Drosophila melanogaster: one gene and its partners. The protein of the gene in region 1 interacts with the protein of each later gene in a pairwise test. Each region holds a gene or a part of one and is shown on either strand. Other genes may lie near its edges. The genes, in order: CG1602, Picot, Hr78 and H2.0.

Region 1 (4,289 bases):
GAATGAATGAATAATTAACTAAAGAAATCGGCGCGGAGGGATCATAACCTTACCACTCCGATGGACTATTTCGTGGCCGAACTTCACTCGCGCCTTGTTGAGCAAGTGGTGGGCGTTGTAGAAGTAAGCATACAACTGGTGCTCCAAAGACAGCGATTGCAGCATCTCCGGTATTAGGCAGCCAATGGAGAGCGTGGGTATTTCAACAGACAGAAGCACTGAAAGGGTGGGCGCCAAATCGATTTGGTTGTACCGTTTTGAGGCGGATCTGTGCAAGAATCATTTGTAGATGCAGTTTTTCTTTTAGATTGTACTTTTGGGGCTTACGGTGTTTTGCTGCAGTTGTTGTAATACAAATATAAAGGTACCAGAGTTTCGGCTGGCGTATTGCCGCCATGTCCTCCGCCATCAGCCATGCCATGATCTCCAGTCAGCATAAGCAGAACGTTGGGAAAACTCTAAATAGGGAAGGAGTTACTTTACAGCTTTCCCTCTATATTAAGCTATCTAATAGCTCACCTTATGATCCAATATTTTTTTCACCACCTCATCCATTTCCTTTAGCTTTAGGGGCACCCTAGGGCTGGCATTGCCCTCGACATGACCAATGTGATCGAGGCCCAGATAGTGTAAAATCAGCAAAGACCAGTCACTCCGCTCCAACTCAGTCTCCAGCGTTTTGGTCACATTTCTATCGCCCTCGTAGAAGTCGTTAACATAAAAGGAATCATGGTTCTCGACCTGCCGTGTAAACTCGCTGGGAAAGAGCTTCACCCAGGTGTGGTCGCCGGCAAAGGAAACAACTCGATTCTGCTGTTTTAGCCGGTGCAAGAACGAGTCCTGCATCTGCTCCGTATGACCCACGTTTAGCGCAATGTCGATAAAGTTCGAAAGGGTGCCGGTGGTGATGCTCTTCAAGCGTGGCATAGTCACCGTCGGTATGTCCACATGGAGCTTAAGCTTCTCGCAGGCCCTAGAATAAGCCACCGGCATAGACGTGGCATCGGGAAAATCATCGCGCAACGCGTCGACCAGTAACAGCACAAAGGAGTCATAGGCAGGTGGCGGCGGCGTCAGTCTGTAAAGGGTAACGAGCATTATAGGGGCGCTATCTCACGCAATTATCAGCTCATAAACTCACTCCATGCCAAGCAGAGCGGTGGGCCGGCCCTCTGGCACGGTGCTTTCCTTCTCCGCCACCGAGTAGGAGGCCGGAAAGAAGCCAATCAGAAAGAGCACGGCGCCGCAAAGGAACGCCGTGAGCATGCCGATGGTATAGACCAGCCAACTTTTGTGCTGTTCCATCTTCTTGTTTTCATCGAAAGTACCGCGCTCCACCGAAAACCACAACAAATTCAATATAATTGCCGCCCGTCAGCTGGAAGTCAAATATAAAGGCTAGACAATCGATAAGTGCTGTATGCTATCGATAGACGGCAAGCAAAACTTCAGGGGCGTAGGCACATAAAACTAATAAATGCTAAAGTCTTACGTATAATTTATATTTATTTTAAAACTATTGATACGAAAGAGTTAAGAGAGGAAATTTGTTAGCTTTATGGAAAAAAAGTATTAATATTTACATAATATTACTAACGTTTTGCCATTTCTCGAAGTGTATATTATTTTATACTTAATTTATCTTAATTTACATTTAAAATCTTACATATAAAAGAAATTTTTTAAATTTGATACTTATAAAACAAACGAATTTAATATCGTCTGTCGAACCCTTTTGCCCATTTGTGAATGCGCCCATGGTCTCTCATAGTCGGATATGTATAAACAAACGCTTTTGATTGTTATTTCTAACTTAAAATGGAAACTTGCGGCCTTATTTGTGTGAGCAGGGACTACGAGAAGTTCCTGATGCGCTGCTCCTACTGTCCAACGGACGTGGAGGTGGCCCAGTGGCAGGAGTTTGTGCTGCACATCCGCAACGTGCATAGCAAAGTAAGGAGCATGGAAGACGACTTCGAGCCAGTGGGGGAAAATTCTACGGAGTCTGGGCACGTAGATCCTCCAGAGGAGAAACCCCAAGCGGAAGAGTCGATATTCCAGCAAGACGAATCGGCGGACGGAGCCTGTGTACAGCTGCATATTGACGCAGTGCGTTCGTCGACAAACGAGACTGAGGAGTCGGACGTATCTTTGGTTACAGATGAAGAAGAATCCGTCCAGGACGAGGATCCAAGTGAACCAGCTCTTGATGATGCCAATTTAAAAACCACACCCACATACAAGGTACTTCTAGAAGCCATTCATGAACGCGCTAAACTAATCTCAGCATTCAACTTCAGTTTCATCCATCCTTCTTTCGCCGAGATCACCGAACCATAAAGTTCATAGAGATCTACAAGGAACACCCGTGCCTTTGGAATCCCGCTCACAGCGACTACAAGGAACCCAAGAAATGCAAAGAAGCCCTGAAGCGTATGGCCATTGACTTGGAGGCAACTGTATCCGTATTCCTGAACGAGATGGCCTTAAAGCTGGCCATCAAGAAAGTCCACATGCAGTTCAACACCGTGCACAAGCGGGTGGTGTCTGGAAAACAGAAACCTCAATCGCTGGCTTTCAGTATATACAAATTGTGTTGCTTCTTGAACGCTAGCAACGATGAAGAAGGGGCTACGAATAACGAAAAAATTAAGGCAAGATATTTGAATTAATTCAAATTGAAATTGTTAACAAGCATACTTTGCCCGCAGCTTGATTTCTCCAAGAAAAACAAGCTGACTACCGACCTGATAGAGATGTACGCAAACTTTCCGCAGCTATACGACTCCAACCACAAGGAGTTCTCCAATATGAGCTCTCGAAAACAGGCATACGAGAGCATGGCTGCGGAAATCTCAGTGCCCAATGTGGACATCAACAGCGATGACATATTCCGCGCCATCCAGAATCTCCGCCAATGGTACTACAAGAACACTAAGCATGCCATTTATGCCGGAAGTACAGCCGAGAAGTTCTACCTAGAGGTGTGTCGGTTCATGCCTGCAAAGATGTACAAGCAGCGGCTGGTCTGCGAATTTTGCCACCAGATTACGTCCTCGGATCATGTCCTGCAGTCGCACATCTTCAAGGCGCACAACATCGGCGAGCTGCCCTTCAAATGCACCTTGTGCGACCGAAGTTTTGTGGGACGTTGCGAGCTGGCTAATCACATACAGCGGGTCCATATCGGCAAGACCCACAAGTGCACCCATTGTGAGCGTTCATTCGCTGTGATGTCGGACCTGCAGCTGCACATCCGTACGCACACTGGCCACAAGCCTTACGTCTGCGAGCATTGCGGCAAGGCCTTCCGACTGCGGTCCCAAATGACGCTCCACGTCACGGCTATTCACACGAAGATCAGAGCCTTCAAGTGCACCATGTGTCCCAAAGACTTTGTGAAAAAGGTCGACTTATCGGATCACATCAAGGGCCATTTAAACATCCGCGACAAAATCTGCAGTGTGTGCGGTAAGGGATTCACCAGCTGCCATGCACTCATCCGACACCGGCAGATTCACTCCGAGGTGAAGAAGTTTGTGTGCAAACTCTGCGACTCCAGGTTCTCCCAGTTTGTGGGTCTTAATACGCACATGAAGCGCACCCACAACATTCTTCGTAATAATTCACAAAAGGGTAAAGATGCTGTGGATGCAGAGAACTGAATTTGATTAAATTTGCAATAAAATGACAGTTTATAAATAGGCAATCTTTTGCAAATGGGGGGAAATAAAAATACACAAATGAGAGTGAAACAATATGTTTAAACAAATTTATTTATATAACGGTTTAAGAATGTATATTAATAATTAAGAATATAAATTCTACATTATCTGGCCATGTCCATCTGTCGAAATCTGGGGATGTACATCTAAAAGCCTAAACACATTCCCCTGCCTACGCTGCGCTATTTTTTCCAAAATGTTGGCACGCCCACAAGGCGCCGACAACTGTAACGCCCATACATTTGAAAAACGTTTTGGTGTTTTCCTGTTCATATTTGTCTCGCTATTTTCTATCGATATGACAAAAAAAATATAATTTCTCAACAAATAAGCTTGATTGATTTTGATTTTTCCAAATGGTTAGTACTAGAATTTTATAACATTTTTTTTCGAAAATTGAAATGTACTAGTTACTTTAAAGATTCATTCATGAAATGCAGATTTTTAATCATTTTTAAGCACCACCAACAGTTGTTAAAACGTTTTCTTTTAAGCCTTCATAAAATTGTGTTTAAATATTATTTTAAAAATAGATTTTTATCGAATAGTCTATCGATACATAAT
Region 2 (5,935 bases), 9.1 Mb from region 1:
AGAGAGTATGTAAAATAGTTAACTCTTTCAAATGCCCATGAATAATTAATAATTAATAAATATGAACTGCTTTCATTCCATTCGGAAGACGGAAGCGAATGGGAATAGTTGGCAGACAAAATGAAAAATTACTTAATTGCTTTGGCCGCGCACAACTGTACCGCAGCCTAGCCATAAAGTATTCCATTAGGGGATTTGCCAAAAATACACCCTACATACACTTAAATAATTAGAATATGGTACACATCAAAGCAGACAGTGTGAATGGTTTCTCTTTATTGTCACGAGAGCTCGACAGACACGCTCAATGGCGGCAAAGCGCAATTAACACGAAAGAAAAAAACTTTACAGGGCAGTAAAAAATCTGGCCAAGGAGTGTTGAATGCTAAAAAAGGATCAAACTAAATACAATAATATTTTATACACATATCCATGTAAATAACCAAATGCCTTCAAAACATTTCGTTTTTAAAACCCAAAGCGATATCCAATTTCGATGTGTAGATCATTCGGAAGTCGATGTGATCATGTCGTCTGGGTAATTGGAACTTGCGAGCGAAGGCAGGCGACAAACACGTGTTTTTCTCAGCCGGCGGCAATTTTCAGAGCGGGCTCCAACACACACATATATATATAAACAATCACTTGTGCGATTCATGCGTGACTGTAGCTATTTGTACAGTTTTAACTTTGGTTTCGCTTTGCGATTATCAGCGATTATTAATGCAAAACAATGGGCGAAAATTCTAATGGGTTTTGTTCACATTTTAGGATTATGACAAAGTTAGCAAGAACTTGTCAAAGCGATTAAAATAGTGTATATATTTTGGCGTGACCAGTTATTACTCAGAATACATATGTATGGTGTACAGTGTACACCTAGTGGGGTCGCCTCCACTTAGTGTCGTCGCATTTGTATGACTTCATCCCGAGTCTAGCTACAGACATGTGTCTGGTCCCATTTTCATTTGTTGGGGATGGTTAGGGTAGAGATTATCTTTAAGATAGTATGAAGCCCAGTGTAGCCCAACAACACCACTTCAATATAAGATACCAAAATTATTTGGCAATCTTTCAAAGTCCGCAGCGGGTACTCGCGATGTTACCATAATCACTTAGCTGTGCATATTTTAGACAGCGCGTGTACTTTGCCTTCCATGTGCCGAAAGTCACGAGATGTGAATGTGTGGCATGCTTACGTCCATCCGATATAATTAGACATATATACTATATCGGTAGATGGTTCGACCAAATCTCTTTGACTTTGCAGCGACTGAAAAGTTCACTCTATCAATTGACATCAATCGCCGGGTCCGAAAATGATGCATAATGCAAGGGGAGAATTTTCCATCGTCTCACTTAATTAGTCGAAATCTGAACACTAAAACTGATGTAATCACCCAACGGCGGCGGAGAGAGCGACGCCGGCGCAGAATAATACCGCACCGCACCTCACTCGTTCTATATCCGAATCCGAACCCAATAGCCGCAGATACACTCATATGCGATATACCCACAGCGATGGCCGCAGTTTATAAATGAAGGCGGCGCAACAGTTGGCGCTCAGTAGAAAAAGCTGAAAGCAGCTGGCGGTTGCAAAAAGTACCCACTCAGTTGACCGTTCAACGTCGGTGGCAGAACATACACTCGCACTAGACCCAGCGATAAATTGTCGCTCAAGTTTTCCCCTCAAGCGAACCCTTTGAGTTTTCCCAGTGCGCGATATGTTACGGTCTTCAGCCGACCAAGTCGATAGATAGACAATGAAATGGTTTAAGCGTGTGCGCAAAAAGTCTTGAACTCGAGTAAAACGCGTGCTAGATAAAATTTAGATAATTTATTTAAGTTAAGGCCAAAATCGAACACTATGCCCTTTCGACGCAGCAGTCTGAATCATCGGCATCGCGATGGCCATGTTTTGGTATGGAATCAGAGGAATCTCCACGAATCTCTGGAGCAACAGCCGCAGAGTAAGTCTGAAATGCAAAAGGATAAGCTAGCACAAGTTGGTCCTTTTTGTTTTCTTCGCCAGTTTCTGTCTTTATTTTGTGACCACGCTGCGTATGCGTTATATTGAGGAAAGTATTTTCCTATTTAGACCGGTTTTCTTCCCCTTGGACTCATTTCGCGTGATATACACGTGCTTTTCCTCATCGCCAGATAGCTAGCTGCCAACGAAAGCAAACTCGGCAATTGTGCAACACGAGACGTTGGTGGAAATATGTGGGGAAACCAGGGGAAAAGCGAGCACACTTTTCGATTTAGTGCTGCGTAAGCAAAAGTACACGGCGAGCGAATAACAATGTTTTTAAAATCAAATTTGAATCAGCATAATTGCGGATTCGAACGATTGTTTATTTCCAAATTTATTTTGCTAGTTATGGGCAACTGAATTCCAATGAAATCCACCGGGTTATTGAACACAAATTGCTTATCATTTCACTTTTCGATTGGCTACAGGTGGCCAAAGTTCATTGGTTTTGAAAGTAAATTGGCTTAATTTGTTCTGCTCGCTTACAGCCTTGAACTTTCTATGCGTCACCCCTTAATTAAACCAGAAATATCCGAGCCCATTCGCAAATCCTAGAAAGTAAGCGCAACTGTACATGAAATAGGAATTCTAGGTAAGCTCACGTGTCCCATGTGGCCGTGAAAATTGCTGGAATTGCGGCGATTCACGTTTGACAAATGACACAAACGGCACTAAAAATTACAAACACTCATCCAGCCAAATGTAAACAATTGCTTTCGTCGTAGTTACAAAACGCGATCACGAAATATGACTATTGGGCAATAAAATCAAATAAGGAGAGTAGAGCTCTCAATTGCAAAAGTTTATTGTGAAATTTAAGAAGAAATCGGTTGATTCTCAGTTATTGTAATGCGATAAGTAATCAGTTCTAAAATAATAAGCAACTAGACGTATATAACAGCATAACAGAAACATTTGTGGGCCCGATATCTTAAATGATTCACTTAGCAAACCTAGAATCCGAGAATCTTATCTCCGAGCAACGAACCTTGAAGCTGAACAAACCGCAGACGAGATTATATCTTCATATATCGCTTTTAGCCGCGATATATTTGGGTTATTTCTGCATTTCCGAAGCATTTAATTGGTTAGCTAGCAATAATAGTTGTCGACAAGACATCCGCTTGCCGCAGATAAATTATTTATTTTGGCTTTTTCTGACGCATTTCATTTTGCCATACTCTCTGAGAGGAATATTTTGGTAATCACTTGGCTAATTCTCTCGGTTTTCTTGGCATTTTTTAGGATGCTTTGCCACCCGGTACTTTGTGACCTTTATGCTTTTCCTGGGCATGGCCAATGCCTATGTGATGCGCACCAACATGTCGGTGGCCATTGTGGCCATGGTGAACCACACGGCCATCAAGTCTGGAGAGGCAGAGGAGTACGATGATGAGTGCGGAGATCGGGATATTCCTATTGTAAGTTGGCATTATATAAAAAGAAAACTCAATTTATGCTGATGAATTCTCTTCAATTCCCAATTTCAGGATGACTCTCAGGATGGCGAGTTCGCCTGGAGCTCAGCTCTGCAGGGCTACATCTTGTCGTCCTTCTTCTATGGCTATGTCATCACCCAGATTCCCTTTGGCATATTGGCCAAGAAGTACGGTTCCCTGCGCTTCCTCGGCTACGGCATGTTGATCAACTCCGTGTTTGCCTTCCTGGTTCCGGTGGCTGCCCGCGGTGGAGGTGTTTGGGGTCTGTGCGCCGTGCGTTTCATCCAAGGTCTAGGTGAGGGTCCCATCGTGCCCTGCACCCACGCCATGTTGGCCAAATGGATTCCGCCCAACGAAAGGTCACGAATGGGTGCCGCCGTGTATGCGGGTGCACAGTTTGGAACCATCATCTCTATGCCACTTTCCGGCCTGCTGGCTGAATACGGATTCGATGGCGGCTGGCCGTCGATCTTCTATGTGTTTGGAATTGTGGGTACCGTCTGGTCCATCGCCTTCCTGATCTTCGTGCACGAGGATCCCTCTTCGCATCCCACTATTGATGAGCGCGAGAAGAAGTACATTAACGATTCCCTCTGGGGAACTGATGTTGTTAAGGTGGGATTTGGAGATAATTAACAATTTTAGATTGAAATTATAATATTCTATTCTTACTTTTTAGAGCCCTCCCATTCCCTTCAAGGCTATCATCAAGTCGCTGCCCTTCTACGCCATTCTGTTCGCCCACATGGGTCACAACTACGGCTATGAGACTCTGATGACCGAGCTGCCCACCTACATGAAGCAGGTGCTCCGCTTCTCCCTGAAGTCGAACGGTCTGCTCAGCTCCCTGCCCTACTTGGCCATGTGGCTCTTCTCCATGTTCATCTCGGTGGTCGCCGATTGGATGATTAGCTCGAAGAGATTCTCGCACACGGCCACCAGGAAGCTGATCAACAGTATTGGCCAGTATGGACCGGGAGTCGCCCTAATCGCCGCCTCCTACACGGGCTGCGACAGAGCACTGACCTTGGCCATCCTCACCATCGGAGTGGGTCTTAATGGAGGTATCTACTCCGGCTTCAAGATCAACCACTTGGACCTCACACCGCGTTTCGCCGGCTTCCTAATGTCGATCACTAACTGCTCTGCCAATTTGGCTGGTCTCTTAGCGCCCATTGCTGCAGGTCACCTCATTTCTGATCCCAGCAAGGTGAGTTCGGAAGTCCATTTGAGTTGGAAAACAGATACTATAACAATTTATTTCCATTTTTAGCCCATGATGGGTCAGTGGCAGATCGTGTTCTTCATCGCTGCCTTTGTGTACATCATTTGCGGTACCTTCTACAACATCTTCGGATCCGGTGAGCGTCAGTACTGGGACAATCCGGAGGACGATGAGCAGAAGCCGGCCCTCCAGACGACCGTCACCACCTCCCCAGCGAGGCTGAGCAACGGCAGCACGGCACCAGCGGCCATCTCGAGTTCCTAGGACTCCAAATGGAAGTAGTATTAGCCGTAGTCGTGCGTCATTAACCATTAATCCGTACACTATACGATATGCGTAGCTTAGTCCTTGTTTTAGTCTAATTATTTGATAAGCCAAAAGTTGTTAATATTGATAGTTAGCCTTTGATTTATTCCTACATCTGCATAAATACCGCTAAAAAGACACTAATCTTCCAATTGTAAATAAATTGGGAACTGAAACCGAAACCACACCAAGTCGAGCACAAAACGTCAACTTTAGTTAGTGAAATCGAGGTCTACCATTGCAAATGTGTAGTTTTCTTATTTTATTGTGATAGCGAAAGAGTTTACTTCTCTCACTGATTTGTTTTGAAATTAAATGAACCGCTCAAGCGAACATTGTTAAGCAAACAACCAAATGTATGAAAACCATTAAAAACTACTAGTTTAAGAAACAAAAAACATTTAAACATTTATTGGAAGAGGGCAGAAAAAGGACCAATTACGTGTATTGGGAATGAATGTTGCTTAAAGAAGTTGTTTAAAGAATAACCAATAATCATATTCTCTTAAAGCCAACAATAAGCTTTCCTAACAACGTTGGTTACTCTTTCACCCTTGATGGCTAATTCGTAAATAATAAGCAGTTGTCAGGATATCAAGTGCAACCATCTCCTCTATCAGCTACTTAAATGCTAGCACTAAAGCAGAAGGATTTAGTTAGCAGTTACAATGGGCCATCAGGAGGAGCTGAAGCCGGAGCAAGTGGATCTGAAAGTAACCCCCTTTGTGGGCTATCTGCGACGCACATGGAGTGACTTCTGTGCCACCAGCAGTATCCATGGATTGAAATACACTCGTGACGAGGATACGAATAAGATTGTGCACCTGGTGTGGCTCTTAATATCGGTGGTGATGTTCATTTGTGCTGTTGTTATGGCGCGCACCTTCTACATGGACTATCGCAGCAGTCCGACGCGTATGAATGTGGAAAGTG
Region 3 (5,816 bases), on another chromosome or scaffold:
TCACACGCCGCAAGATGAATACTCTAATGACAAATATTCTTATATAAAGTCATTTTTGAAATTTATTTTTGTGATAATATGTACATAGATTTGACTATTTCTAATCTATTTTCAAATAATAATAACGTTAAGGCAATGCAAAACAAGAATTTTTCGCATGGTGCCAATTGATCAAAAATAATATAGATTTAAAGCCAAAGAACTTCTAAGGTGAAGGGCATATTTTGTCAAATTTACAATGCATGAGCATACGTGTGCACACATAAAGTTGTCTGCTATCACTGTATGCGTAGAAAAGAGCGGTTCGCTGTAGCGCTCTTCGCTCTCTCGCTCTCTAACAAAAATTCGAGAGAGCCTGGAGCCACCTCTAGAGCCACGGCCAAAAAATCGTGTGCCAAAAAATCGTATGGCGTTACGCATCTTGTTATTCTAGGGTCTTTGGCCAGGCCATCAGCCAGGGGGGGCAGATAGTAGAATTCCTCTTCCTACACTGGAAACTCTTAGTGAAAGCACCTATCAAACAGCTTATGTATTTGAAGCAGATCGATATAATTGGAGGCAGATTGACTAAGAGAATAAGAACAGTACATAGTGTAAATAAACAACGGGAAGTTACGTGATAGGCAGCAAATTATGAAATTTCTTGAACATTCCTTTTTGGTGCAGGGGGGTGTGTGTGTGTGTGTGTGTGTGTGTGTGTGTGTGTGTGTGTGTGTGTGTGTGTGTGTGTGTGTGTGTGTGTGTGTGTGTGTGTGTGTGTGTGTGTGTGTGTGTGTGTGTGTGTGTGTGGTTGGTGTGGTTATAAATATAATAATTAATGTTTTTCTCTCTATGTTCTAGAACTTAATTGCTTAAGGACGCTGCTGAAGGATACGCCGAACTCGTTAGAGGCGGACTGCCGAGAAAAGCTGCAGCGACGCATAGAGATGTTCAGGAACGCAGACGACACGTTGGCGCTTCCGCCCGAGGATGTGCAGCAGCTAGTGCAACAAGTCGTCGCCTCTCCGGCGCGGAAATTCTTCCTTGTGATACTAATGAGCGCCACGGGCCTGGTCTTCCTCACCGGCATCTTCCTGGGACGGGCCACCAAACGGGCAATGGGCTTAAAGAATAAATAATTGAAATATTAGACTGTAGTGGCACTGTGTAGGCGGAGTGTGCATGTTTGTGAGCTTGCTGATTTCCATTTCGGCCCATCCATGACCCCATTCCGAAACCCAGAAGTATACTTTCACTCAACCCTGTCTGCCTTTCGATATTTGTGTGAGCAATTTGTGGCTTAGTCGTTTGTAAGACCAAAAAATACGCGAGAAAGGAGAACACAATCAAATATACTAGTTCCATTCTTAGGGCTCTTTTCGTTATAGCTTTTTTGTAACAATTTCACTTGTATATTAAATTGTATTTTTGTAAACAAAAGCCCCTTCTTTTTAACTATATCCACATGGAAGGCATCAACAGATGTTTCTCTTTGGATCAATACCAGAGCGCTAATACGGCAGAGCGCCTAGTTTTGAGTACAAAAGTTAAGTAAAAACTTGGGATAGGCTTATCAATTTAATCAAATAGCCAAGGTAACTCAAAGTATAAAATTTAATATTATGTCCTTGTGGGCTTATGAGAATTAAAATTTGTGTTAATTGATTAAGCTTGACTCTAATTTGTACCCTAGACACGCCTTTGTTATTATTGATATTAGTAATTCTATTATTATCCTTTGTTTTACGTTAAAAATTACAATTTCAACGAACTGTAGCTCTACAGGTGTTTTGGTATATTTGCACAATGAGCTGCCTTTTTTTAGTATATGGGACCGGATGGTATGTTGAAAGAGCCCAACTGCGGTCACACTGCTCGCAAGTGAATTGGAACAAGGAGATTTTATTGCGTTAGAAAAGGTTCAAAATAGGCACAAAGTGCCTGAAAATATCGTAACTGACCGGAAGTAACATAACTTTAACCAAGTGCCTCGAAAAATAGATGTTTTTAAAAGCTCAAGAATGGTGATAACAGACGTCCAATAAGAATTTTCAAAGAGCCAAGTAAGCAAGACCAATTCATTCACATCACAGGCACCCACACAGATGCAGCCAAAACAGGTTCTATTAAAATAGCTCTGGCTACGTTAGCTACAGCTGCGTCCAAAATAGTAGCACTTTTGTTGGCAGCAGCAACGGTGTTTTATATTGCGTAAAATTCAATGATTTATTTTTTGAAAACATCAATATAATATATTATAATACATTTATTATTATTATTATTATTATCTACTATATAAATATATTTTGTGATAGAATTAACCACCTCATACCTCTCTTTTCGGCTCGTAATTCCTTTATTCTAGACACACTCCATATTTATCTCTTCTCTACTTTATATTGCAAGTAAAATTTAAATTACATATGTGAAGATGTTTGGGTTTCAGTTATTTATACAGCCGACGACTATTTTTTAGCCGCCTGCTGTGGCGACAATGGACGGCGTTAAGGTTGAGACGTTCATCAAAAGCGAAGGTGAGTCCAATCACCCGAGCCATGCCACCTTGGAGCCCATTCTAACGCGACTGTTGCCATTGCCCTCTGACCTTGCAGAAAACCGAGCGATGCCCTTGATCGGAGGAGGCAGTGCCTCAGGCGGCACTCCTCTGCCAGGAGGCGGCGTGGGAATGGGAGCCGGAGCATCCGCAACGTTGAGCGTGGAGCTGTGTTTGGTGTGCGGGGACCGCGCCTCCGGGCGGCACTACGGAGCCATAAGCTGCGAAGGCTGCAAGGGATTCTTCAAGCGCTCGATCCGGAAGCAGCTGGGCTACCAGTGTCGCGGGGCTATGAACTGCGAGGTCACCAAGCACCACAGGAATCGGTGCCAGTTCTGTCGACTACAGAAGTGCCTGGCCAGCGGCATGCGAAGTGATTGTAATTTTCGTTTAAGTCGTCGTCTCAAGCTATAACCAATCTCTGGCCTGGCCAGAGTCTACGTGCTCCAGCAGGCTTTAGCAGAATTGCATTGTAGAAATTAGGAGATATCATATATGTAGCATTTAACTCTGACAAGTAATGAAACGTTATCGATTCACAGGAACTCAGTTTCCCAGAGCTTAATCAAGAACTGGTTGGATGATCTCCAATTCGAATTGGACTCAAAGATAAATAGTCTAATCTAGAGAAAGTTCAATTTCAATTGAATTCAATTCAATTTTCGTCTGTGAAGTGCATTTTACACCAAGTAATCACGTGAATCTAATTGCATCCCAGTGTTTGCTTCTGTAACGTGAATATCCACTTCAGTAACTTGCACATCTTAAAACTGCAGCGGCGGAGGCACAAAAGATTCCCAGCCTGCACGAACATTAACCAATTCACCCACTTACTCACCATCACCTCGCTTTGAAAATCATCAAACCGCATCCTCACCTCACTTCTCGCTCTAATTAATTGCCTTCCGTTCTCATCAACTTTTGTTCACAGCTGTGCAGCACGAGAGGAAACCGATTGTGGACAGGAAGGAGGGGATCATCGCTGCTGCCGGTAGCTCATCCACTTCTGGCGGCGGTAATGGCTCGTCCACCTACCTATCCGGCAAGTCCGGCTATCAGCAGGGGCGTGGCAAGGGGCACAGTGTAAAGGCCGAATCCGCGGCCACGCCTCCAGTGCACAGCGCGCCAGCAACGGCCTTCAATTTGAATGAGAATATATTCCCGATGGGTTTGAATTTCGCAGAACTAACGCAGACATTGAGTAAGTTGAACTTTGATTTACATTCTGGTTGGTCATATATACTTAACTGCCATGATTGATCCATATTTAACTTCTTTTAAACGAATTCACCATTAATAATCTCCTATTGACTTTGCAGTGTTCGCTACCCAACAGCAGCAGCAACAACAGCAACAGCATCAACAGAGTGGTAGCTATTCGCCAGATATTCCGAAGGCAGATCCCGAGGATGACGAGGACGACTCAATGGACAACAGCAGCACGCTGTGCTTGCAGTTGCTCGCCAACAGCGCCAGCAACAACAACTCGCAGCACCTGAACTTTAATGCTGGGGAAGTACCCACCGCTCTGCCTACCACCTCGACAATGGGGCTTATTCAGAGTTCGCTGGACATGCGGGTCATCCACAAGGGACTGCAGATCCTGCAGCCCATCCAAAACCAACTGGAGCGAAATGGTAATCTGAGTGTGAAGCCCGAGTGCGATTCAGAGGCGGAGGACAGTGGCACCGAGGATGCCGTAGACGCGGAGCTGGAGCACATGGAACTAGACTTTGAGTGCGGTGGGAACCGAAGCGGTGGAAGCGATTTTGCTATCAATGAGGCGGTCTTTGAACAGGATCTTCTCACCGATGTGCAGTGTGCCTTTCATGTGCAACCGCCGACTTTGGTCCACTCGTATTTAAATATTCATTATGTGTGTGAGACGGGCTCGCGAATCATTTTTCTCACCATCCATACCCTTCGAAAGGTTCCAGTTTTCGAACAATTGGAAGCCCATACACAGGTGAAACTCCTGAGAGGAGTGTGGCCAGCATTAATGGCTATAGCTTTGGCGCAGTGTCAGGGTCAGCTTTCGGTGCCCACCATTATCGGGCAGTTTATTCAAAGCACTCGCCAGCTAGCGGATATCGATAAGATCGAACCGTTGAAGATCTCGAAGATGGCAAATCTCACCAGGACCCTGCACGACTTTGTCCAGGAGCTCCAGTCACTGGATGTTACTGATATGGAGTTTGGCTTGCTGCGTCTGATCTTGCTCTTCAATCCAACGCTCTTGCAGCAGCGCAAGGAGCGGTCGTTGCGAGGCTACGTCCGCAGAGTCCAACTCTACGCTCTGTCAAGTTTGAGAAGGCAGGGTGGCATCGGCGGCGGCGAGGAGCGCTTTAATGTTCTGGTGGCTCGCCTTCTTCCGCTCAGCAGCCTGGACGCAGAGGCCATGGAGGAGCTGTTCTTCGCCAACTTGGTGGGGCAGATGCAGATGGATGCTCTTATTCCGTTCATACTGATGACCAGCAACACCAGTGGACTGTAGGCGGAATTGAGAAGAACAGGGCGCAAGCAGATTCGCTAGACTGCCCAAAAGCAAGACTGAAGATGGACCAAGTGCGGGCAATACATGTAGCAACTAGGCAAATCCCATTAATTATATATTTAATATATACAATATATAGTTTAGGATACAATATTCTAACATAAAACCATGGGTTTATTGTTGTTCACAGATAAAATGGAATCGATTTCCCAATAAAAGCGAATATGTTTTTAAACAGAATGTTTGCATCAGAACTTTGAGATGTATACATTAGATTATTACAACACAACTTTGATCAAATGTTAATCTAATTTTTATTAAAGATGTGGATCTCATCCCACAGATTGGCAGAAAGCAGAATACAAAGTCAAGAAATGGCAACGTGTAGGGAACAATTTAAAGGCGGTCGTTATATTTTTATTTTTTGTATAAAAATAATTTGATTGTTTACTAAAGTAGATAGACGAACTGCAGCTAAATATGCATCCAGTCTTTACAACTTAATCTAAGCTAGAGCGAGGGATTACTGTTCCTCTTCGGGTACCTTTCTGGCGGGCTTGTGCTTCTCGTAAGCCTCATCGTTGAGTCCCTCCCGATTCCGGGCAATCTCGATGGCCAGAAACTGGACGCGAAACACGAAGATAGAGTTGTCCGGGGAGAATTCCCTGCTGGCATCGGCGCGCATCAGGGTGCCATACGAGTAATCGTCCAACTTGTTAAACTTCTCGGCGAACTGGCGCCACTTGAGCTTCGCCGTGGCGGATTTGAGAATATCATCGGTAAGCCGGC
Region 4 (7,560 bases), on another chromosome or scaffold:
TGTCCATGCCACTGGCACTGTGCGGCAGTGGTGACGGTATGGTGGAGCACCTGGACGCTGAGAACGACTCCATTCGAGTGGTGGCAGCGCACTGTTCCTGGGCCAAAGTGAATTGAGTTGCCCCGCAACGATTTGGTTGCGGTTTCCAGCGATTCCTCAAGAATAAGTGGCGTTCGTGTCTGTTTACATAGTTTGATTGCGTTTCGCTTTCATTTGTTGTATGCCCTATAATTTTCCGGGAAAAGTTGTTGGCTACAATCACTAAGGCTCAATTTGCACTTTAAATGGGTTAATGGAATTTAAGCCATGCTCTTTCCAATCAGTATCTTTGAACGTTCGGCATATCCTGGAATGTATCTGAATCTTTTTTTTTAAGTAAAAAGGATTATTTTATTATTAATCGGACTTCACTTTGAAGAGGATAAAAGTGTCACCGACTGGCGATGGATTTTCCGCTGCCATTGCATTTGCATATTCCACATTTTCTGGGTCACTTTGTGGGCTTGTGGTGCTAGGGTGTTTTTGGCACCAAATCCGCCCGCTTGGATGGGAGTTTTGTGCCGGAAAGTATGCTATCTTAAGGTAGTCACGACAATTTTCCTATTAATAACGCCAGTTTCGCTCCGCAATTTACACATTTCTACTTAAGTTTTCCAACCCCGACGATCCGTTCGTGTTCCGTTTTGCGGATTTCCGCTTGTGGAATGCGGTTTCTGATTTATGACCACCAGTCCCGGTTACCCACTTCATTGAACCCAGACAGCGTGGAGCAGGTGGAGTTCGCGCAGATCGCTCAATCCCAAGCCAATGGAAGGCACATTCCTTGGGCGCGAAAGCGAGATGCCGCATCAGCGCCACCAGTGGCTCCGCCCACCACTGCGGATCGATCGCATTGGCCAGAAATCACGAACCACGAGCCACTCGACATGGCCTCTGCGCAGGGAAACCGGAATTCGGATGGGGTGTGTGTGTCTGTGTGTGGGAGTACGGGAACATATGGAGAAATCGGTAAACAAATCTCGGCTGCGCTCGAGGAAACGATCTCCGACTGAGCTAATGACACAGCGGCATGCTTGTGTGTAAACAAGCGATCGGCATGGCAAGGTATCCCATCTGTGTGTGGCTACAGTGGGATCAGGTCTATGGTAAGTGGATTAACATAATTTTAGGGCACTTTCTAGAGGTATATAGATCTTCAGCGGAATAGAAACCAATGTTACCACCAACCGAAGCCCAAAAATCTAATCTTTCTTGATAGTATTACTCTTCTTGAGTATTACTTTATAAACAATATACACGTTGGATAAAAAAATATCCTGGTTTGTATATCCTGTATATCGAACATATAGCCATTATTTATTGTTAGCATTATATCCTGATCATCTCGCACTCCTTGCCCCACTGTCAGCACCAGGAATACACAATCTCAGCGAGATTAACCCCACCGCCAACAGACTGTTCCGCGTTGGCTGGCCGATCGGCAATCGATGGCTGGTTGAGCGTGCTCCCTGGCCGGTTCCGATCAGTTCTGAGTGGGATGTCTTGCAAGGCGGTTTAATCGGAGGTGCACGAGACCTAAGCCAAAATTCGCGATCGTTTTATTGGTGCACAGCGACGGTGTTTTGGACATGATAGATAGTCCCTATCGATTGTGAACGTGTGAAATCAGTTTTGAGTGTCCTGTGTCGAGATTCGTAGATAGAAACCATATACAACACATATCCGGACAATGTTACTACACGAGAGTGCCGCCAGCATGGAACAGAGTATGCCCGAGAACCTCAGCACTCACATGTACGGCGAGTGTGAAGTGAATCCAACGCTGGCAAAGTGTCCCGATCCAGTGAATGTCGATCATGAGCTGCCCACCAAAGAATCCTGTGCCTCGACTACCATAGTCAGTACGTCGCCAACCAGCGCCACGAGCACCACCAAAGTCAAGCTGAGCTTCAGTGTGGATCGTCTGTTGGGCTCGGAACCCGAGGAATCCCACCGGCAGAGCTCCTCCTCGCCCTCGACCAAGTCATGCTGCGATGGCAGCATTCTAGCCTGCTGCTCCTTCCCCCACTGCTTCAGCCAGGCGAATGCCGAATCCCGTAGGTTTGGACATGCCACGCTTCCGCCCACTTTCACACCCACTTCATCGCACACGTACCCCTTCGTGGGTCTGGATAAGCTGTTCCCTGGCCCCTATATGGATTACAAATCAGTGCTCAGACCGACGCCAATTCGGGCAGCAGAACACGGTAAGGATGCACTATACTCAAAAGGGAACATCCTTTGAATCCGAGCAGGTTTTACAAAAAAAATGTCCATTTGAAAGTAAATCATTCAAAATTACCATTAAGTGCACGGCATTTGGAACATCATGAGCAAACCGAGTTGATAGAAGGAAAACATTTAATCTCTGTAAGGGATGCCTTAAATTAATATGAACTATATTGGTACTGATCCGTATTACATGGATTATAGGTACCTAAGTGTATTTTTAAGATACTTTTAAACTTAAAAGGAATCAGCTCCATACAGAAAGCTATTGAAACATCATTCGTTCGCAGTGAACCTCTTCTAGTTCCAACAACGTACCACTTATCAAAATAATATTTTATACCCATGACTCTATCTTGTAGATACGATCTATCATCTGCACTATTTCAATCTCCCCGTATGTTGTGTGCACTTGCAGCGCCAATAAAACTGATCAAAGCTAATCAGATATTGCGATTTGTCAATCATTCTGCATTCTTTCCATGGAAATATGCAGGATCTCAGGGAACGATCAAACGAGTTGATGAGGTGGCTTCGCCATTTGCCCATCAAAATTCCTTAGCTATTTCGCTCTGTTTTTCAATTATGGACTATAATTATTAGCCATGTTGAGATTTGCAGAGAAAATCGTGAAATGGAATTTAGCCAAATGGGAAATGAACATTCCTGGAAACACAAAGAGTGAGAACCTAAGGCGCAGCCCCAATAAATTTCACGTTTTTATTTGAATTATTAGTTGATCTGCAGCCATATTGTGCAATATTCCTGCGGCCAAATGTTCCGCGCCTTTGGCTCTTGACGAAAACAATTCGATTTTTGAAATCGACAACAAAATAGTCCGGATTGTTTTGGGTATTTGCCGTACTTCCTGCTGTTTTTGTATATCTGGGGACGAAGACTTCTTATAAAGCCTGCAGGCTGCCAGCGCACTTTGATCTTGTTTATGTGAAAATGGAAATGGAAATGGAAATAGTGAGAGCAACATAATCGGTAAATGTTTCGCTTTTCGAATAGAAATTGTTCATTGTTTAACAAGCTGCTTGAGTTTTATACATATCGTCAGCACAGCCTTTTCCCATTCAATATTGTACACAATTCTTATCAAGTGGGTGCTAACAATGCGAGGGCCTTAAACGATCTTAAAGATCTTTTGCGGATAAATGAGATACATATTTGGTTTGGGATTCCTCAATGGATAAATTGATTAGGAAATGTCTGAGATATTAATTTATTTCAAAATAAGAGACCCGCAAATATGTGGAGCTATACTAAAATGATGTGTAAATGGTATTAGCGAGCTTAACTTAAAGCTTACTATAGTTTAGACCTAGTTACAAGTAGCAAAATACAATTTTTTAACAGCCGACTAAAACATATTCAAAAAAGACTTTGGTTGATTCATCCAACGTAAATTCGATACTAATAGCCCTTTAAATTCCGCCAAATTCCAGCACACGATTAAATTATGTAGCAAAATTAGCGCCAAACTTAAATAAATTACACTTCACACAATGATGGAACATTAATGAAAATTATCATCAGTGCTAAGTGGTTTTCAAACACATTTGCTCAGCCAAAAATGGGAGGAGCAATTAGTAAGGCGAATAAATTCGACATAGCTCAATCAACAAAAGATCGGTAAAAAAAAAACGAAGAACAGACAGCACCTGAAAGGCTTCATCAATCCTTTGGGCACCGCAAATAGATGAGATGCCAAAGACCAAAGTGGAAAATTAAGAACAATTTATGAACAAATTACGAGTCAGTCTTTAAAAATAAACTTCAAGCTCACACGGATCGTGGAAAACGTTTGTGGCGAACAGTTTGTTTATTTGCTTGGGCAATTGGCCCGTCATTCATGGGCAGATACAGATAGCTATCCATCTAATTGCCCGCTCTCTAATGAATTGTTCCGCCGGCCGAGGAGTTCGACAGGTGGAGGCATCTTTGGCCCGGCTAGAGACGCGGATCTCTGATAGATTGGGCGCCACGGTTCCAACTACTGCGGCTCAACCGACTCCAATGAGGCTCGGCTGCCGTTTAGGCCAACGACAGGGAACTGCTGACCGATGGATGACTGTACCGGGTATGGGTACGGGCACGGGCACGGGTGAAACTATGCGCTGTTCTTTGGGGGCCGAGCCAAAAGGCCAAGTATTTACACAACCACCCACTGTGGTGGCCTTTTCAGGAGGAGGCTACCCTGTGGCTGCCCGCCGTGTCCAACCTGCCGGCCCCTGCGGAATTATTCCGTGATGGATTGATTGCATCGCATCGCACATCATAAAATCATGGACCAGCGAGATCTCTGCGGCTCCTCCGTCGACTATTTGTTGCTGTTTGCCTGTCCCGCCTGGCGATGAGTAGTTTGTTGATCTGTTGTTGTTGCTCTTCTGGCTGCCGATCAATCGATCCATCCATCGATCGATTGGATGCTACAGACCATTGTCTGATATGGAAATTCTGTCTGAACAATAATCCGGCGCCGTGGGTCTAATTAATTAGCAATTTATATGTTAATCCAACTGATAGATGCACTTTCAAAGCGTTCGAAGATCCCTGATTAATGATGGCCCTCAGACGATTTCTTTTGGAACTTTGAAGACTCTTTCTCAAGTTCCCAACAGCAGGGGAGGGTTGTAGCAATAATAATTACCACGCACTCAACTCAAATTAACGGGACTGATATATGTATGTAGATACCACAACTATAGGATTAACTATAATGAATTGAGTGAAAATTGACGACAATCCCAAGTAGCTAAAGATATTTCACGAAATATACAATTGAAATATTAGCTATACTTTTGATTTCACTTAAATATTTTGAAAGTACATAATGCAGATAATATATCTTAGTGCATAGTTAGCTGGTAAAAGTCAGAGATTCGGATGTTCGGAAGTAGATACATATGTATAATATATTAAAATCAATCAAATAAACACATACTCCGCTTGTCGAGCTGGTAGTCGAAATTTCCATAGCACATGGCCCACTGGGAGTGCTCTGCTTAACCCCAAAAGATCATTCGCAATTTACCGCGAAATAAGCCACAATATTCGCCAAGTCGTAAATGTGGAATGCATCGTGCTAATAAATCGATGCAACTTAAATATGGCTGCGAAATGTACGATTCGCAAACACATCCTACTGGAGATGCATCTGCAACCCAGACCCTTGAGTGATTTAAGATGGCATCCGAAAAATTATCACAACTCATTAAGATATTTACGGGTCCGCTGGCGGTATTTTGTAAATGTATCTGAACGGGAAAGTCGGCAATTAATGATCTCGCGCTGTGAGTGAACCCCAATGCCCCGGCCAACATCCAAGGTGTTGAAAGTCGGTGAAAACTCATTATAACAAACCCCCGATGGTTGACACAAGCCAAATGCCAAAACGGCCAATTAAGGCGTTATTAGCCCCTGCAGATGTGCTGAGATTCCATTGGCGTTCCCGATGCAGATACACAAGCGCACGGATTGAGATACAATTGTATCCACAAGTGCAGAAGCGCATTTCCGCTGCAGTGTAAATACACACAATCGATCGAGTAGTGTGTTGCTTAAGTAAATAAAACGCTCGATCTCGAAAACAATTAGGCGCATGCCGCGAGCACACAAACAAATCGAATTCCACATAGCACAACGTTAAAAAGGCAATAAAAAATACCTATGATAATTTAGCGTTGGCTACAAACAAAGAGGAATGGTTTGCAGTTTGAAATCAAATAAAATTCAATGAAAAAGTCAAGGATAGGAATTAAAATTGTGGCCTTTTAACAACATCAGGATTACATTTCATATCAACATTAGTGAACATTATCGTGAACTGAGGATTCAAAGGAACTTTTTGTAGCATACTTTTCAGCGGAGTCCTTTGAGTTGATAAATGCCGTAATGATCTTGATTGAAACTCAGTAGTTAGATAAAGGATAGTAAATGCCAATAATGATTGGAAATACAATAGGAAAGTCAACGTCATTCGAATTGTTTCTTACTGCGTGTATAAATTCTTGGATATTTAAAAAACATTTAAGGGAAGTAAAGCACCCTGGTTCGACCTCAACCTCGTGTGCCCCATGTCGTGTTCGATTACCCCAAATAATTTTGGATCTCTAGAGGTAATTGTTGTTGTTTAGATTCGCGCTAGAAGTAAACAAATTTCGTTTGCCCCCCCTAGCCACAAAACGCTTCAATGATAATTTCCAATTAAGTGAAAATTTTATTATAAACAAGCCCATTTAAAAATTCTCAACATGCATTTTATTGATCAAAATAATTTACTCAGAAAACACAAAAAATTGAATTTCATATTTTCTTTGGCGAAACAAGTATCATTTCTTTGGCCGGCGATAAATGTATTATTTCCTGCGGATGCAATGTGCTACCAAGGGAGGATGTTGTCCATAACTAATGGTAGTTTTCCTATAAAAATAAATATCCAAATTGGTGCGTAAAAAACGCACCGGATTCAGTATAGCAACAAATTAAGAGTTATTGCTAATGAAGGAAGTATGAATCTCCCAATTGACTTTAACATTCCATTCCCGAACAGCCGCACCCACTTATCCCACGCTGGCTACCAATGCGCTCCTCCGCTTCCATCAACATCAGAAGCAGCAGCACCAGCAGCATCATCATCATCAGCACCATCCCAAACACCTCCATCAGCAGCACAAGCCCCCGCCACACAACTCGACGACAGCCTCGGCGCTACTGGCGCCGCTCCACAGCCTCACGAGCCTCCAGCTGACGCAACAGCAGCAGCGATTTCTGGGCAAGACGCCGCAGCAGCTCCTGGACATAGCGCCCACCTCGCCCGCCGCCGCCGCCGCTGCCACATCCCAGAACGGTGCACATGGACATGGAGGTGGCAATGGCCAGGGCAACGCCTCAGCCGGAAGCAATGGGAAGCGCAAGCGATCCTGGTCTCGCGCCGTCTTCTCGAATCTGCAGCGCAAGGGCCTGGAGATTCAGTTCCAGCAGCAGAAGTACATCACCAAGCCAGATCGCCGCAAGCTGGCGGCACGACTGAATCTCACCGACGCTCAGGTTAGTTAAAAGATGGGATTTTCATAGTTTAACATTTGCACATTCGACTCCTTTCATAGCTCTATAAAAACCAATATATTATTATTTTTATACCCTGATTAGGTCAAGGTGTGGTTCCAGAACCGTCGCATGAAGTGGCGGCACACGCGCGAGAATCTGAAGAGTGGCCAGGAGAAGCAGCCGAGTGCAGTACCCGAATCCGGAGGTGTCTTCAAGACATCCACGCCATCCGGTGAT

What was found.
Region 2: the proteins of CG1602 (region 1) and Picot interact in a two-hybrid assay, tested with the Drosophila melanogaster proteins (one large-scale study listed by BioGRID).
Region 3: the proteins of CG1602 (region 1) and Hr78 interact in a two-hybrid assay, tested with the Drosophila melanogaster proteins (one large-scale study listed by BioGRID).
Region 4: the proteins of CG1602 (region 1) and H2.0 interact in a two-hybrid assay, tested with the Drosophila melanogaster proteins (one large-scale study listed by BioGRID).

Annotation. Positions count from the first base shown.
Region 1 is NT_033778.4:7,516,390-7,520,678, reverse strand, and holds CG1602 (uncharacterized protein), read left to right. Parts: upstream 1-1,742; 5' UTR 1,743-1,818; coding exon 1,819-2,244; intron 2,245-2,300; coding exon 2,301-2,654; intron 2,655-2,711; coding exon 2,712-3,665; 3' UTR 3,666-3,756; downstream 3,757-4,289. Other genes in the region: PIG-G (phosphatidylinositol glycan anchor biosynthesis class G), read right to left, coding at 54-268, 328-458, 520-1,078, 1,142-1,305.
Region 2 is NT_033778.4:16,654,782-16,660,716, reverse strand, and holds Picot (picot), read left to right. Parts: upstream 1-1,558; 5' UTR 1,559-1,867; coding exon 1,868-1,970; intron 1,971-3,277; coding exon 3,278-3,453; intron 3,454-3,522; coding exon 3,523-4,086; intron 4,087-4,150; coding exon 4,151-4,681; intron 4,682-4,744; coding exon 4,745-4,960; 3' UTR 4,961-5,394; downstream 5,395-5,935. Other genes in the region: nach, read left to right, coding at 5,671-5,935. UniProt on the Drosophila melanogaster protein: May be an inorganic phosphate cotransporter.
Region 3 is NT_037436.4:21,493,517-21,499,332, reverse strand, and holds Hr78 (Hormone-receptor-like in 78), read left to right. Parts: upstream 1-1,838; 5' UTR 1,839-2,042; intron 2,043-2,149; exon of another isoform or gene 2,150-2,190; intron 2,191-2,311; exon of another isoform or gene 2,312-2,425; 5' UTR 2,426-2,473; coding exon 2,474-2,513; exon of another isoform or gene 2,514-2,591; coding exon 2,592-2,912; exon of another isoform or gene 2,913-2,940; intron 2,941-3,464; coding exon 3,465-3,734; intron 3,735-3,852; coding exon 3,853-5,027; 3' UTR 5,028-5,314; downstream 5,315-5,816. Other genes in the region: Glg1 (golgi complex-localized glycoprotein 1), read left to right, coding at 841-1,118; CG7519 (uncharacterized protein), read right to left, coding at 5,551-5,816.
Region 4 is NT_033779.5:6,013,363-6,020,922, reverse strand, and holds the start of H2.0 (homeodomain protein 2.0), read left to right. Parts: upstream 1-1,520; 5' UTR 1,521-1,729; coding exon 1,730-2,246; intron 2,247-6,826; coding exon 6,827-7,323; intron 7,324-7,425; coding exon 7,426-7,560. Other genes in the region: CG13996 (uncharacterized protein), read right to left, coding at 1-73. UniProt on the Drosophila melanogaster protein: May play a role in pattern formation during embryonic and imaginal development. Is not essential for visceral muscle morphogenesis.